Cricetulus griseus: one gene and its partner. The protein of the gene in region 1 purifies or fractionates together with the protein of each later gene. This does not show direct contact. Links are inferred from orthologs where the notes say so. Each region holds a gene or a part of one and is shown in the gene's direction. Other genes may lie near its edges.

The links. Proteins that work in one complex are often made in the same cells at the same time.
Region 2: the proteins of Hnrnpu (region 1) and Rps3a fractionate together in Homo sapiens (co-fractionation; 3 studies listed by BioGRID and IntAct, with this or other methods). This does not show direct contact. The link is inferred for Cricetulus griseus from reciprocal best matches to the Homo sapiens genes HNRNPU and RPS3A.

What each region holds. Positions count from the first base shown.
Region 1 is NC_048598.1:15,815,998-15,822,845, forward strand, and holds the start of Hnrnpu (heterogeneous nuclear ribonucleoprotein U), read left to right. Parts: upstream 1-3,039; 5' UTR 3,040-3,249; coding exon 3,250-3,862; intron 3,863-4,881; coding exon 4,882-4,993; intron 4,994-5,080; coding exon 5,081-5,154; intron 5,155-6,848. UniProt on the Homo sapiens protein: DNA- and RNA-binding protein involved in several cellular processes such as nuclear chromatin organization, telomere-length regulation, transcription, mRNA alternative splicing and stability, Xist-mediated transcriptional silencing and mitotic cell progression.
Region 2 is NW_023276806.1:68,277,216-68,283,818, forward strand, and holds the start of Rps3a (40S ribosomal protein S3a), read left to right. Parts: upstream 1-2,148; 5' UTR 2,149-2,244; coding exon 2,245-2,306; intron 2,307-2,960; coding exon 2,961-3,064; intron 3,065-3,327; coding exon 3,328-3,515; intron 3,516-4,281; exon of another isoform or gene 4,282-4,354; intron 4,355-5,432; coding exon 5,433-5,641; intron 5,642-5,755; exon of another isoform or gene 5,756-5,823; intron 5,824-6,013; coding exon 6,014-6,123; intron 6,124-6,603.

The sequences.
Region 1 (6,848 bases):
AAAAACATGTGTATATATGTTACTCATGTGTAAACATATACACACAAATAAAACAGTCACTAATTAAGTCACCATTTAGAGTTTTCAACTGGTAAAATAAAATGTGGAGTGGCAACTATGTTTAAAAGAAGACCAAGGGAGCTGGGCGGCGTTGATGGCGCACGCCTTTAATCCCAGCACTCGGGAGGCAGAGGCAGGAGGATCTCTGTGAGTAGACCAGCCTGGTCTCCAGAGCAAGTGCCAGGATAGACTCCAAAAGCTACACAAAGAAACGCTGTCTCGAAAAGCCAAAAAAAAAAAAAAAAAAAAAAAAAAAAAAAAAGAAAGAAAGAAAGAAAGAGTGGATCCTTTTCCTGCACATGTAAAATTGTATTTCACATTCATTACTGACACCAACACTGTTCTAAGAATAGTTGTTATAAATAAATCTGGTCTTATTAGCCATATAAACTTTCTTAGTTTGGTGGGGTTTTGTAGCTATGTAGCCCTGGATGGCTTCAAACTTACTGAGATCTGTTGGCCTCTGCCTCCTGAGTACTGGGATTAAATGTGTCCAAGACCACATCCAGCTGCAATTTAATGTTTCACTGAGTTAGATGGAGATTGTTTACATGTCACTGACATTTAAAAATTAAGTATCTGCCTGGTGGTGATGGCCCACGCCTTTGATCCCAGTACTCAAGGAGGCAGAGGCAGACAGATTTCTTAGAGTAAATATCTGAGAGTACATAGAACCACATTAATAAAATTGTATGCTTCCTAATTAAGGAACTAATAATCTAGTTTATGAACTTGTACCCCCTATAGTTATCTTCCATTTTTGAACCAGAGTTTTATTTTATTTTATTTTATTTTTTGGTTTTTTGAGACAGGGTTTCTCTGTGGCTTTGGAGGCTGACCTGGAACTAACTCTTGTAGACCAGGCTGGTTTCAACTCACAGAGATCCACCTGACTCCGTCTCCAGAGTGTTGGGACTAAAGGTGTGTGCCACCACCACCTGGCTTGAACCAGAGTTTTAAATTCTAGCTTGTGGTTTATTTATAAGCTTAAGAGACATTAATTTTTGCCGGGCAGTGGTGGCACACGCCTTTAATCCCAGCACTCTGGAAGCAGAGGCAGGCGGAGCTCTGTGAGTTCGAGACCAGCATGGTCTACAAGAGCTAGTTCCAGGACAGGCTCCAAAGCCACAGTGAAACCCTGTCTGGAAAAAAACAAAACAAAAAGACATTAAATTTGAGGGCTGCTCCACCACCTCCACTAACTGAGAATTACCAGACTGTACTAGTTCATTGATTTCCACAGATACTAATTCCTATTGGCTCATGACTCAGGAGTAAGATAAAATGCTTTTTAAAATGATTTCATCAGGGTGTGGTGGTGAATACCTTTAATCCCAGGAGGAAAAGGCTGGAGGATCTTAGCCTGATCTATATATTGAGCTCTAGGACAGCCGGGGCTAATTAGAGACTCTGTCTCAAGAAGAAAAAAAAAAAAAAAAAAACAAAAACAAAACTAATCAACCAAAGGAATCATTTTATTAACAGGTTAAGTTATATTAGCCAAATAGGATAAACTTCATTTCTATGCTTTCAAGTTTCAGATGCACAGAAAGAAGACAGGGCCAACCATAGCTTTACTGCCAGAGTACTTGGTTTTGTAGAAACAGGGTCTCAGGTAGCCCAGATTAGCTTTAAATTCTTTATGTAGCCAAAGATGACACACACACACACACAACCTTTTTGGTTTTTTGAGACAAGGCATCTTTATTTAGCCTTGGCTGTCCTGGAAATAGCTCTGTACACCAGGATATTTGGAGCTGGGAGATCTGCCTGCCTCTGCCTCCCTGGTGCTAGGATTAAAGGTGTGTGCCACCACTGCCTGGCTGACTGAATTCTTGATCTTCTTGCCTGCATCTCCCAAGGGTTGTAATTATAGACCTGTATAAACACACCTATTAGGCACAATCTACACAGAATGGCCCGTGCAGAAAATAAATTCTATTTCTACCTAAAAGTTTCAAGAACATAACATGTTTTTAATTACAGAGAAAAATAGCAACAATTTTTTGTTTGTTTGTTTGAGATGGGGTCTGTCTGACTATACAGCCCAAGGCGGCCTGGACTTTACTATGTAGCCCTGGCTGGCTTTCAACTCTTGATACTTCTGCCTCAGTCTGCCAAGAGATAGGACTGCAAGTGTGTAGACAACTCAGTGTGTGTCTGAAAAAACGGGGAGAATCAAAGTGCATTAAAATTTAGCTGGATGTCCCTCTCATGGTTAACTAAGGGAAGTCCTTCCTGCAAGAGGCCTGTCTTTACAGTGAGTCTAGGGGAATCTTCCATGCAATTCTAGGGGTTACTCAAGGGTCACTAGTAAAGACGGTGAGAAGTGCACAAGGCCCACACTGCATGCCGTGCGGCACGGAGCGGTAGGGCAAGCCTGCGCCTCCCCAGGCCTTGCACCACCGGGTATGGAAGAGACAAAAGAAACGCTGGGGCCTCGCCCTTGCGGAACTTAAAAAGTCCGATCGGCAAGGCAGGGCTTGTAAAAAATTAAACTGCAATGAAGTGGAGGAAGAAAAAAACAAAACACAAAACAAAAAACCACCTCTGTCTAACAGCCGCTTATTTGTGCTCTGCGGAGCAGCAGCGGAAACTTGGCGGAGTCTTAAAGCGAGAGCCGGAGGGACAGACAAAAAAAAAGACAAACTAAGATGGAAGAAAGGAGGGTGTCCTCCAGCGGGAAATGCCAGATGAGGACGCAGGGCGGGTGCAGGGGAGCCTCCTCCGGGCCCACGGAGGCGGACGGCCCGTGGAGCGCGGCCGCCGAGAAGCCGGAAAGGCCGGCGGCCGCCGCGGCCAGTCGGTTTAACCGAAAGGCGGCTTCCTGAGCCTCCATTTGCGCGCCGGGGCCCAGCGCCGAGGTCGCCCCGTGGGGGCGGGGCGGGGAAGGGGCGGGGCCTGCGCGCGCAGCCGCCCTAGCGAGCCCCGCCCCGGCAGGGGGCGGGGCGCCTATATTACGTGCGCGGCGCCGCCCCGGCGAGAGGACGTTGCGTGCTCGCTCGCGCCAGGCGAGTCTCCGCGTCTTGCCTCGCGAACTCGGTGAAAGGAATTGGCGCCGTTCGACACCAGGCGGGTCCGCTCTGCAGCACTCAGCCATCTCCAGCCGCAGCCGCCGCCCGGGCCGACCAGCAGCCGCCGCCACAGGCCGAGGGAGCCAGCAGTCCGCGGTGAACCGGGGCCCTCACCATGAGTTCTTCGCCTGTTAATGTCAAGAAGCTGAAGGTGTCGGAGCTGAAGGAGGAGCTCAAGAAGCGGCGCCTCTCCGACAAGGGCCTCAAGGCCGATCTCATGGATCGACTCCAGGCCGCGCTGGACAACGAGGCCGGCGGCCGCCCCGCCATGGAGCCCGGGAACGGCAGCCTCGACCTGGGCGGCGATGCGGCCGGGCGCTCGGGGACGGGCCTCGAGCAGGAGGCCGCGACCGGCGCCGAAGACGACGAGGAGGAGGAAGGCATCGCCGCCCTGGACGGCGACCAGATGGAGCTGGGCGAGGAGAACGGGGCGGCGGGGGCGGCTGACGCGGGCGCGATGGAGGAGGAGGAGGCGGCGTCGGAAGACGAGAACGGCGACGACCAGGGCTTCCAGGAGGGGGAGGACGAGCTCGGCGACGAGGAGGAGGGCGCGGGCGACGAGAACGGCCACGGGGAGCAGCAGTCCCAACCGCCGGCGGCGGCCCCGCAGACCCCGCAGCAGCGCGGGGCCGGCAAGGAGGCCGCGGGCAAGAGCAGCGGCCCCACCTCGCTCTTCGCGGTGACGGTGGCGCCGCCCGGGGCGAGGCAGGGCCAGCCGCAGGCCGGAGGTAGGAAGGCGGAAGGCGGCGGGTGAGGGCTGCGTGGTGGGCGGGCGGGCGCGCGGCTTGTAGGCCCGCGTGGGGACCGTGCCCCAGGCCGGCCGGGGCCCCAGGGGCGAGCGACGCGGGCGGGCGGGGGGGGCGGGGGAGCCCCGGGGCCGCCGAGAGGATGGGCTCGCCATGCCGGCGGCGCCTCCTCCATTATGTGTGTCGGGCGCCGGGGGGAGCTGCAGCTGCCGCGGTGGGGGAGGAGCCGGGCGGGAGCGGCGGCCGCTGGAGCGCTGCGTGCGCGCGGTTCGGGCACATGTCTGGGGGGAGGGGGAAGGTCCCGGGGCGGGCGGGCTTTGGCGGCTCAGCGCCGCGGTATTGTGCAAGGAGCGCAGGGGCTCGGTGTGACGTCACTTCCGGCGGGAGGCGCCGGGCGCGGGGAGTGAGGCGGAAGCTCAGTACAATGCGGCGGCGGGGCACGCGGGCTCGGATGGGGGAGGGGAGGCGGGCCCACGCTGCCCTGCCCTCCCCCCCACACCCCCCGCCGCCGCCGCGCGCACGGCGCGCAGCACGTGGGCCCGGACGGCGGGCGCGCGGTTTTAGTCCTTAAATGCATTCCGGAAGGTTACCCTAGGCTGGCAGGATTAGCAGCGTCTTTAGACTGCGTCACCGTCTCCAGTGCAGTTCCAGGCTGATGGATACGATTTTTTCTAGATTCATATTAGTTTCGTGGGTTAAAAAGTCTCAGAACTCGCCTGGCGTTGGTGCCATACGCCTTTTTCCCCAGCACTCGGGAGGCAGAGGCAGGCGGATCTCTGTGAGTTCGAGACCAGCCTGGTCTACAAGAGCTAGTTCCAGGACAGCCTCCAAAGCCACACAGAAAAACCCTGTCTGGAAAAACCAAAAATAAAAAAGTCCGAGATCCAGTCTAGGAGGGAAAAAATAACAGCCCCTAAAAGTCCCGGAACAGAAACGGGAGCTTTTCTCTATAATTCAGTCTGTGGCCTGATGATTTAAGGCTGTGTTCTGTGTCGTTATAGGAGACGGTAAAACAGAACAGAAAGGAGGAGATAAAAAGAGAGGTGTTAAAAGACCGCGAGAAGATCATGGCCGAGGATATTTTGAGTACATTGAAGAAAACAAGTACAGCAGGTAGAGGATCCTAACCTAGTTTTATTTGTCACCCAGTTTTTATGCGTGGTTGGGAAAGCTTTATCAGGAGACGATTCTGTCTTTCAGAGCCAAGTCTCCTCAGCCACCTGTTGAAGAAGAAGACGAACACTTCGATGACACAGTGGTTTGTCTTGATACTTGTAAGTGAAGCAAACTTTCCCGCTCTTTTTCTCAAATATTTAAGTGCAGTGCTATTTTGGTTTAACTCTTAGGAAAAGTGTGTTTGTATATCTTAAAGTGGAGAAAACCCGTTAGATTGTTTTAAATCAGGAAGATAATAGCTCATGTTCAGGTTACAGTAGTTTTATGTTTAGCGACACTTCAGTTGTATTGCTGTTTTTACAAGCTCTACTAATTGATACTTATGTCATGGAAGTTCCCAATATTTAGGGATGTAAAACTAATACCGATTTTTGTTCAGCTTTCAGAAACTTGTTTTTAAAACCTGCCTGTAACATGTCCTTAGATAGGTAATATGAAAATTAAAATTTTTCTGTGGAGCTACTATATTAAGTGAGCTATTTGGGCTAGTTGAATACTTACTAACGATTTTCCCATTAGCGCACAAGTACATTCCCTATTCTAAGGATTGTCATATTACCTTTTCAATAACTGCTCTTTTGTTCTCAATTCCAGTTCAGTAGCTGCTGCTCTAACATAAGTTGATTTCTTCCAAAGACCTGGGGCAGCAGCAGTGGGCTATCTGAGCCACTAGCTTTCTTCAGCAGCGAATGGTATCAATGGCAGCGCTGTAAATATGCTACTTTAGAGTATGAGGAAGTATTGCAAGCCATGAAATGGGCTTTAGCTGTCAGATTTGTATTTTGATCCTTTCAAGAAGTTTGTTAGTTTAGTATTTGATAGGGATGTATAATGCTTGGTGTGAGCAGAACAAAAGGTGCTTGAATAAAGAGTTTTAAAGGGTTTCACATGTTAGAAAGGGTTAAAAACTTGTATTCCCTTGTTTACTTATACACATTGTGTTCAGAGTCCTGAGAGTTAAATGTAACTTGGCTGCTTTCTGTCAGTTAAGTCTTGAAGAAAGAGAGGAGAAAACAGCTGATTTGGATTTTTTTTTTTTTCTGAAGTGTAAAAGATTTTGGAATTCACAAGGTGCTTTAGCCGGGATTGAAGAGAATGGTTAGCAGTGCTATTTCAGAAGAATAGTTTAAGATCCAGTCGCCAGGATTACTTGTTTTAAACACAAATTTTAATTCTGTCAGCAGTCAGGAATATTATGAACAAAGCTGGAGAATTTCAAACAGCAGATGCATTTAATAAAAACCAAGAGCCTTATAATTTAATATTCTTTGTCAAGTGAATTCTGAGAAGCTGCATAATGAGGTCTAGTGACCCAAAGATAGCTAGGTTAAAGACTGGATTTGTATAATCCAGGCAGGAGTTAATTCCTAGTGGTTATACCTTACCAGGGTGGTAAAACAGACACATTAACACTTCAGACTGACAGGTTTGTGGGTTGATCTGGCTTACAAGTTTTCAGAAGTGAGTTAAGGTTCTGGAACCCTGGTTTTAGTCTACAAAGTTACAGGATCAGCAGCTCTCAAAATATTTGGTGGTGGCTTCACTTCTGTTATTGTCACTGGTAAATTCTACCTGGTTCTGGCATGCTTCACTTTGATTTCCTGCTGTCCTCTACTGCTTGCCTCTAAATCAAGGTAAAGAGCAGAGCAGGTATGTATTGATATTGCATTGTCTCAGTCATATTACATACTTAAATAACTTCAACGATTGGCAGTTGATGTTTTAGTACATAATTAAGACTGCCTTGGTGGGAGTGGGGCTCCAATGAGAGTTTAGGAACAAGCGCATGATA
Region 2 (6,603 bases), on another chromosome or scaffold:
GAAATAACAATAAAACAGCAGTTCTAGATAAATATTCCTTGTTACTACTTTGGGTATTTCCATTATATCACATACACACAGCACAAACACAGAGATACCCACCCTTTTTTCTTTTATGGGAATGAATCCAGTACCTTGTTCATGCTCGATAAACACTGTCACTGAACAACAGCTCCAGTCTTAGATTTTCAGAGACAGACCTCATTATGTAGCCCAGGCTGTCCTCAAAGAATCTTGTTTTGGGCTTCTGAAGAATGCTGGGCTTACAGGAGTGTGTCATGACCCCAGCTCCATGATTTCCTTTAAAGTTTATGGTGTGCCCTTAACTAGACAGCTTTTGCCTTTCTTGTATTTAGTCTGAGACATCTGGCTGATTGTTATCTTTATAAACAGACTGGAAATGGGACATTTTTGTCATTTCCCAAATATAGGGTTAACATGACAGTAACCCCCTTCTCAAACCAGAGTCAGTGTATTTTGAAGAAAAATAAGATTGAAAAACTTCTAGGGCGCCTGGTGAATAGGGCATTGATTTCCAGCTTGGTCATGGTCTTTGTTGTTGTTTGTTTATTTGTTTGTTTGTTTTGGCTTTGGCCAGAGAGGAAGTTAGAGAAGGGAACTCAGTACACTGCTGGCTGAACACCAAACCTGCACAGCCAGCTCTCTTGGGCTACACTCAAGGTAGCGGGTGAATCTGACGAGGTTGTGCTTTGCTAAATTGCTGTAGTTAAAATGGATGTGGTGGCGCTGAGGCCTGAGGAGCGAGAATTTGAGGTCAGCCCAAACTACACAGCAAGACTTTTGTCTGAAAAAACAAACATAAAAATGGTAAGTGGGGGGGCTGGAGAGATGGCTCAGTGGTTAAGAGCACTGACTGCTCTTCCAACGGACCGTCAATTCCCAGCACCCATATGATATGGCAGGTCACAACTGTCTGTAACTCCAGTTCCAGGGGATCTGACACTCTCGATACATGCAGGCAAAATACCAATGTACACAATATAAATAAATATTTTAAAAAATGGGAAAGGGGGTTTTACATTAAGAAAATTGGTGGGCAATTAGGTACAAGGATTGAACTCCACTGTGTCTTTTTTGAAGTGCTGAGGATGGAACCTAGGGCCTTAGACGTGCTTAGTCTTTACCACTGAGCGGCTCCAGTCTCCCATTCCACTAAAAAAGCAAAACACGCCCCCACCCGGGGCGGGGGCCGAGATGGCTCAGCTGGTAAAGGCACCCGCAGAGGCCTGACCCTGAGTTCTACCTGACCACCGCAGTTCCAGCCCTATACACATAAGAGAGTGGAATAAGAGAGTTGTTCTCTGACCTCCACACATAGGCTGGAGAGGGTACATGCATAACATAGGCACACACAAGCAATAAAAATATGATTGCAAATGTGTAAGAGATATGTAGGTAAGCATACACACTGGGCAGGAGTTGGTATCACAAACACCTTTGTTCTCGTTGATAAGTAAGAAATATACCGGAAAGTATCTATACCACCCCTCAGCTCAGTCTGTCTTACTAGGTAGTTCAGGCTGGTCTGGAACTCACAGTCCTCTAATTTGTTGTCCTGCCTCCAGAGCTCTGGGATTGCAGGCATGCGTTACCACCCCAGCTGAGCCTCTATCTTCATGCATGTTCACAAAACACCCATACCCGAGACTAATCAGAATCCAAATCAGCACGCGCGGGACGTGAGCAGCATGCCCGGAGTTATGCTTATTTAATTATACCAACGTTTTGAAGTAGATCATATCATTATTCCCATTTTACACGTGAGGGGACAGAAGGCCAGAGAGGTCGGAAGGCTAAGTACTGTTCAAACCACCTCTTGAACATGAACTTGCTGTCTCCGATTCAAAGCCCAGGCTCTAGGAAAGAAACAAACTCTCAAAGTTTAGAACACGAGACAGCTCAGAGGGCTTCTCCTCGTACGGAAACTTCCCACCCTGGGGGCAACTGGAACCACAGGAAACCTGGTGTGCGCGCCTCTGCCGGGCCTGCGCGCTCCTGACCTCAGCGAAGTCGCCCAGCCAGCCCCGCGGCCCGCTGCGCGGCCTCCCGACACACGAGGGCGCTGTCGCAGCCCGGTGGGAGCGAGCCGCTGACTCGTGTCGCGAGATTGAGAAAGCCGGAAGGGCGAAAGAGCAAGGGTCACGTAGACAGCGCTCCCCGCCCAGCTCGCGTAAGTTCTCGCGCGGGTACTACTTCCGCCCTTTTGGCTCTCTCAGCAGCACCATGGCGGTCGGCAAGAATAAGCGCCTGACGAAAGGCGGCAAGAAGGGCGCCAAGAAGAAAGTGTAAGTGGCGCATTTTGCGGATCCCCGCTCTTTGGGTCCCACAGGAGTTGGCGGGCTGGTTCTGGGCTGCAGCGTGGGGCGGATGGTGAGGATGCGGGGCGGATTGCGCGGCGACGCCGCTGGCCGGTGCGCTCCAGACGGCCGCCTCTTCCCCGGCCGGGCCGGGCGTCGCGCCCGCGTGTGAGCCGGGCTTTCGTCACGTGTAGCGATCTGTGGGCTCTGGGTGACTTAATGGTCCTGGGCACTTTTAATGTCCCTTCTACATCTGGGCTCGGCAGTCGCTGGCTCCTGCGCTGGGGCCTCGTGGACCCTGCCTGGGAGCTCCCGACACTTGCTGACCGGTCCGTGCTGTCACGGAATAGTTAATGTCACAGGACCTCCAGGTTCCGAGATAGTCTGAAATGCCGCCTGTGGGGTGGAGGAGCGGGAAAGGCATGGTTTCCAGCTTACCGGTTTGTCCTGTTGACAGGCACGCCGGCCTTAGGCTCATCACGGTGAGGGGCGTCATTTTGTATTAAAGACAAGCCGGTTTAAGATTTTTTTTTTGCCGGGGACATTGTCAGCGGAAGTAAGGACGAGGAAAGTTTAAGAGTTGGCAGTGGCAGTCTTGGGATTTATTACAAAGAAGCTTGAGTCTGTTTCTCTCAAATCTAGGGTTGATCCATTTTCGAAGAAAGACTGGTATGACGTGAAAGCGCCTGCGATGTTCAATATTAGAAACATTGGGAAAACACTAGTCACGAGGACTCAAGGAACCAGTGAGTACCAATACTTGTTTTGCTTTGTCCTTAAGCTGTTGCGTGTGTATTTTAACAGGCACCTGGGCCTGCTATTTTTTTTTGTTCTGTGATGGGAAAATCTGCCCAGTGCTTGCAGATTTGGCATTTGCGGTGTGTTTGTAGCAGCAAGGAGGTGTTTTTAGAGTTAGCCAAGAAAATGTTTGGTTGGGTATTGCTGGTAAGTCATTGATGTCCAAGTGGGTTTTTGAAACAATTTAATGGGTTCTTTGGTTCTTTCGTAGAAATTGCATCTGATGGCCTCAAGGGTCGTGTGTTTGAAGTGAGCCTTGCTGATCTGCAGAATGACGAAGTTGCATTTAGAAAATTCAAGCTAATTACTGAGGATGTTCAGGGCAAAAACTGTCTGACTAACTTCCATGGCATGGATCTTACCCGGGACAAGATGTGCTCCATGGTCAAAAAGTGGCAGGTGAGACCCCCCAGACTGCATTTGAGCATGTGCAAAGATGTCATGGTGCCGGGATGGGAAGGATCAAAACATGAAATGGAGTTAGATTTTATTTCAACCCTTTGTTTTCTTGGTGTTACACATTGCCGTAAGGTTTATATACATCGGTAAAACATGACATGAAAATTGTTTTCACTTGAAGAGTGAACAATTTTATTTTCCCACTGTGTTTATATATTGTTTAGCTAGCTTCTAGAGATAAAACTGCAATCAGTTTGGTCTTTCACCCACTTCTCTGAGTTCCTTCTGAACTCCCCTGCCCTCATGGATGACAAAGTTTTAACGTGTGGCCAAGGTGCTGTTTATTCTTTGGTGCTAGAGGTAGAACCCACCGGTTTCCACATGGGCTGTCACTCTTAAACTGAGCTGTAGCCTCTTGCCAAGTGTTTTACTGATAGAAGGACGATAGGCAAGGCGGGCAGCTTTGCCAGTTGAGAGTATATTTATGGTGAAAAGGTGGCTCTAACTAATTTGACTGTCTCTGACAGTGGTGTATAACAGTGACAGGACATTGTTGTGGGGCTAAAGTCATTCAGTCTCCATATTTTGTCTTTGGAAAGTAACAAGCTTAGCAGCTCGATTCTTCATTTGTAAAATCAGCTCGTTGAGTTGTGAAGATGAAATAGCTGATGCAGGTAATTGAGCTTCAGCACAGGGTAACCATGTCATTTCAGGAGATATTATTCCGATGTATCCAGGTAACAGTATTGGCATATTACAATATGGGAATGAATGATGACAAAATGTTTCGGTCCCAAATGAAACATCCTGATTTTACCGTTACATGTTTTTCTGACATTCCCTTACAGATTATGCAATTCTGGAAGTAAAAAGTTGTTTAATACATGCAATAAATAACTTTTGCAGTGGAAGTCAAGTTTTTTTTTTTTTTTTTTTTTTTTTGGAGGCAGGGTCTTACTAGGCTGCCCAGGCTGGCCTCAAACTCACAAAGATCCACCTGTTTCTGCCCCCCTGAGTGCTACAACTGAAGATGTGTGCCACCACTCATGGCAGATACTGGGTATATTTTAAAAGTCAAGGTACATAATTTATAAAATGCAAAGAGATTAAATCATTTTGCCACTAAAATGGCCCTTTAAAAGATGGAAATGTGGCCCAATTATGGTTTTTATTTAGATTTATCTGTAGGGTTATATATTTAAATCCTTGGCATGGCTTTAGTTTGGATTTAAAGGGATTTAAAATGCTCTTATGGCAGAACTTTTTTCCTTTGGAGAAAGGATCCCTAGCCTCTTAGGTATGGTGCTTGCTATGTAGACCAAGCTGGCCTTGAACTTGTGATTTGCCTTTGTATTCTAAGCAAAGGAATTGTAGATAACGTGTCATTGTGTTACTGGAGTTTTTATTTCTTCAGACTGGCATGGAACTTGTTATGTAGACCATGATGGACTCAAACTCTTTATTAGAGATCCAACTTCTTCTGCCTCCTGCTTAGTGCTGGGATTAAAGCTACCACACACAACCTGTATTTTCTTTTTAAGAGATGAAAACATTCATGTGGTCTTATCCTGTGTGTGGTCTTCTAGTGTAACTTTCAAATTTCCATTTGGGGCCAGGGTGACTGTTGATAGGTACACTAGTAAAGGGTGTGGGTTCCAGTTGAGATGGCAGTGATGGTTTAGAAGATGGTAAGAATCTCATTTCATTTTAAGAAAAATGTGAACTAGACATTCATATTTTATGTCACATAATGGGTTTGACATTCCAAGCTTTTTTTATGTTGATTGAGGCCCTAAAAGCTATTGCAAAAGCTGATGGAGGTGGTGTGCACAGGCAGGGGAGGATAGCCAAAGCTAGGGTGAGACCCTGTCTCAGAAAAACAAACTATTGGATCTTACAGTATCATTTTCTCCCTAGACTATGATTGAAGCCCATGTGGATGTCAAGACGACTGATGGTTATTTGCTCCGTCTGTTCTGTGTTGGTTTTACTAAAAAACGCAACAACCAGATACGCAAGACCTCCTATGCACAGCACCAGCAGGTCCGCCAGATCCGCAAGAAGATGATGGAAATCATGACCCGAGAAGTACAGACAAATGACTTGAAGGAAGTGGTTAATAAGTTGTAAGTGGGTTTTATTTTTCATCCTTTAAAATTGCTGGGTTTTGGCTGAAGCTCTATTAGCGGTGGATAGTGAAACTTAGGTGTTAACTTAGAAGATATACAATAATGTATGGGAATACATGATGAGAAAATGTTTCGGTCCCAGTTGATGTATGCTGATAAGGAAACATTTTTCTGATGTTCCCATGTGGAATACAAATGAGGATGCTATGCAAATAAGGAAGACTTAGATGTTAGATATTATGGCCATCTTTAAATAGGATGACTTTAATTAAGCTGCTTTTTTTCCATGTAAAGTACTTATGTGAAAAACTTGCCTTGGTTGGTTTCTTGTTTGCTTGGTTGCTTTTTAAAAGTTTGCTGGTCTTGCAGGATTCCAGACAGCATTGGGAAAGACATAGAAAAGGCTTGCCAGTCCATTTATCCTCTTCATGATGTCTTCGTTAGAAAAGTAAAAATGCTGAAGAAACCCAAGTTTGAATGTAAGTGAGAAATCAGGATTCATGGGATGAAAATTTGTGGGGCCAAATACATGATTGTTTTTTAATGACTGATTTGTAGTAATTTGCCCGTGTGTATGTATAGGCACCATGCATATTGGCGATCTTGATCTTCTGAAGAGGCTTCAGTTCCGCTGGGACTGGAGTTAACAGGTGGTTGCAAGCTGGGTTCTAGCTCTTCTGCCAAGAACAAGTGATCTTAACCACTGAGCTACCTCTTTAGTAATTTTTTGTTTGTTTTGTTTTTGAGACAGTTTCACTGTGTAGCCTTGGCTTGCTTGGAAGTCACAGATCCATCTGTCTGCCTCCCTAGTGTTGGGATTAAAGCTGTGCCCCACCATGGCCTGGAATTAGTGTAAATTTTTAAGTGTAAGATAATGGTCTGGCCAGACGTTTGTGGCTCATGCCTTTAATCCCAGCACTTGGGAGGCAGAGGCGGGCGGATCTCTGAGTTCGAGGCCA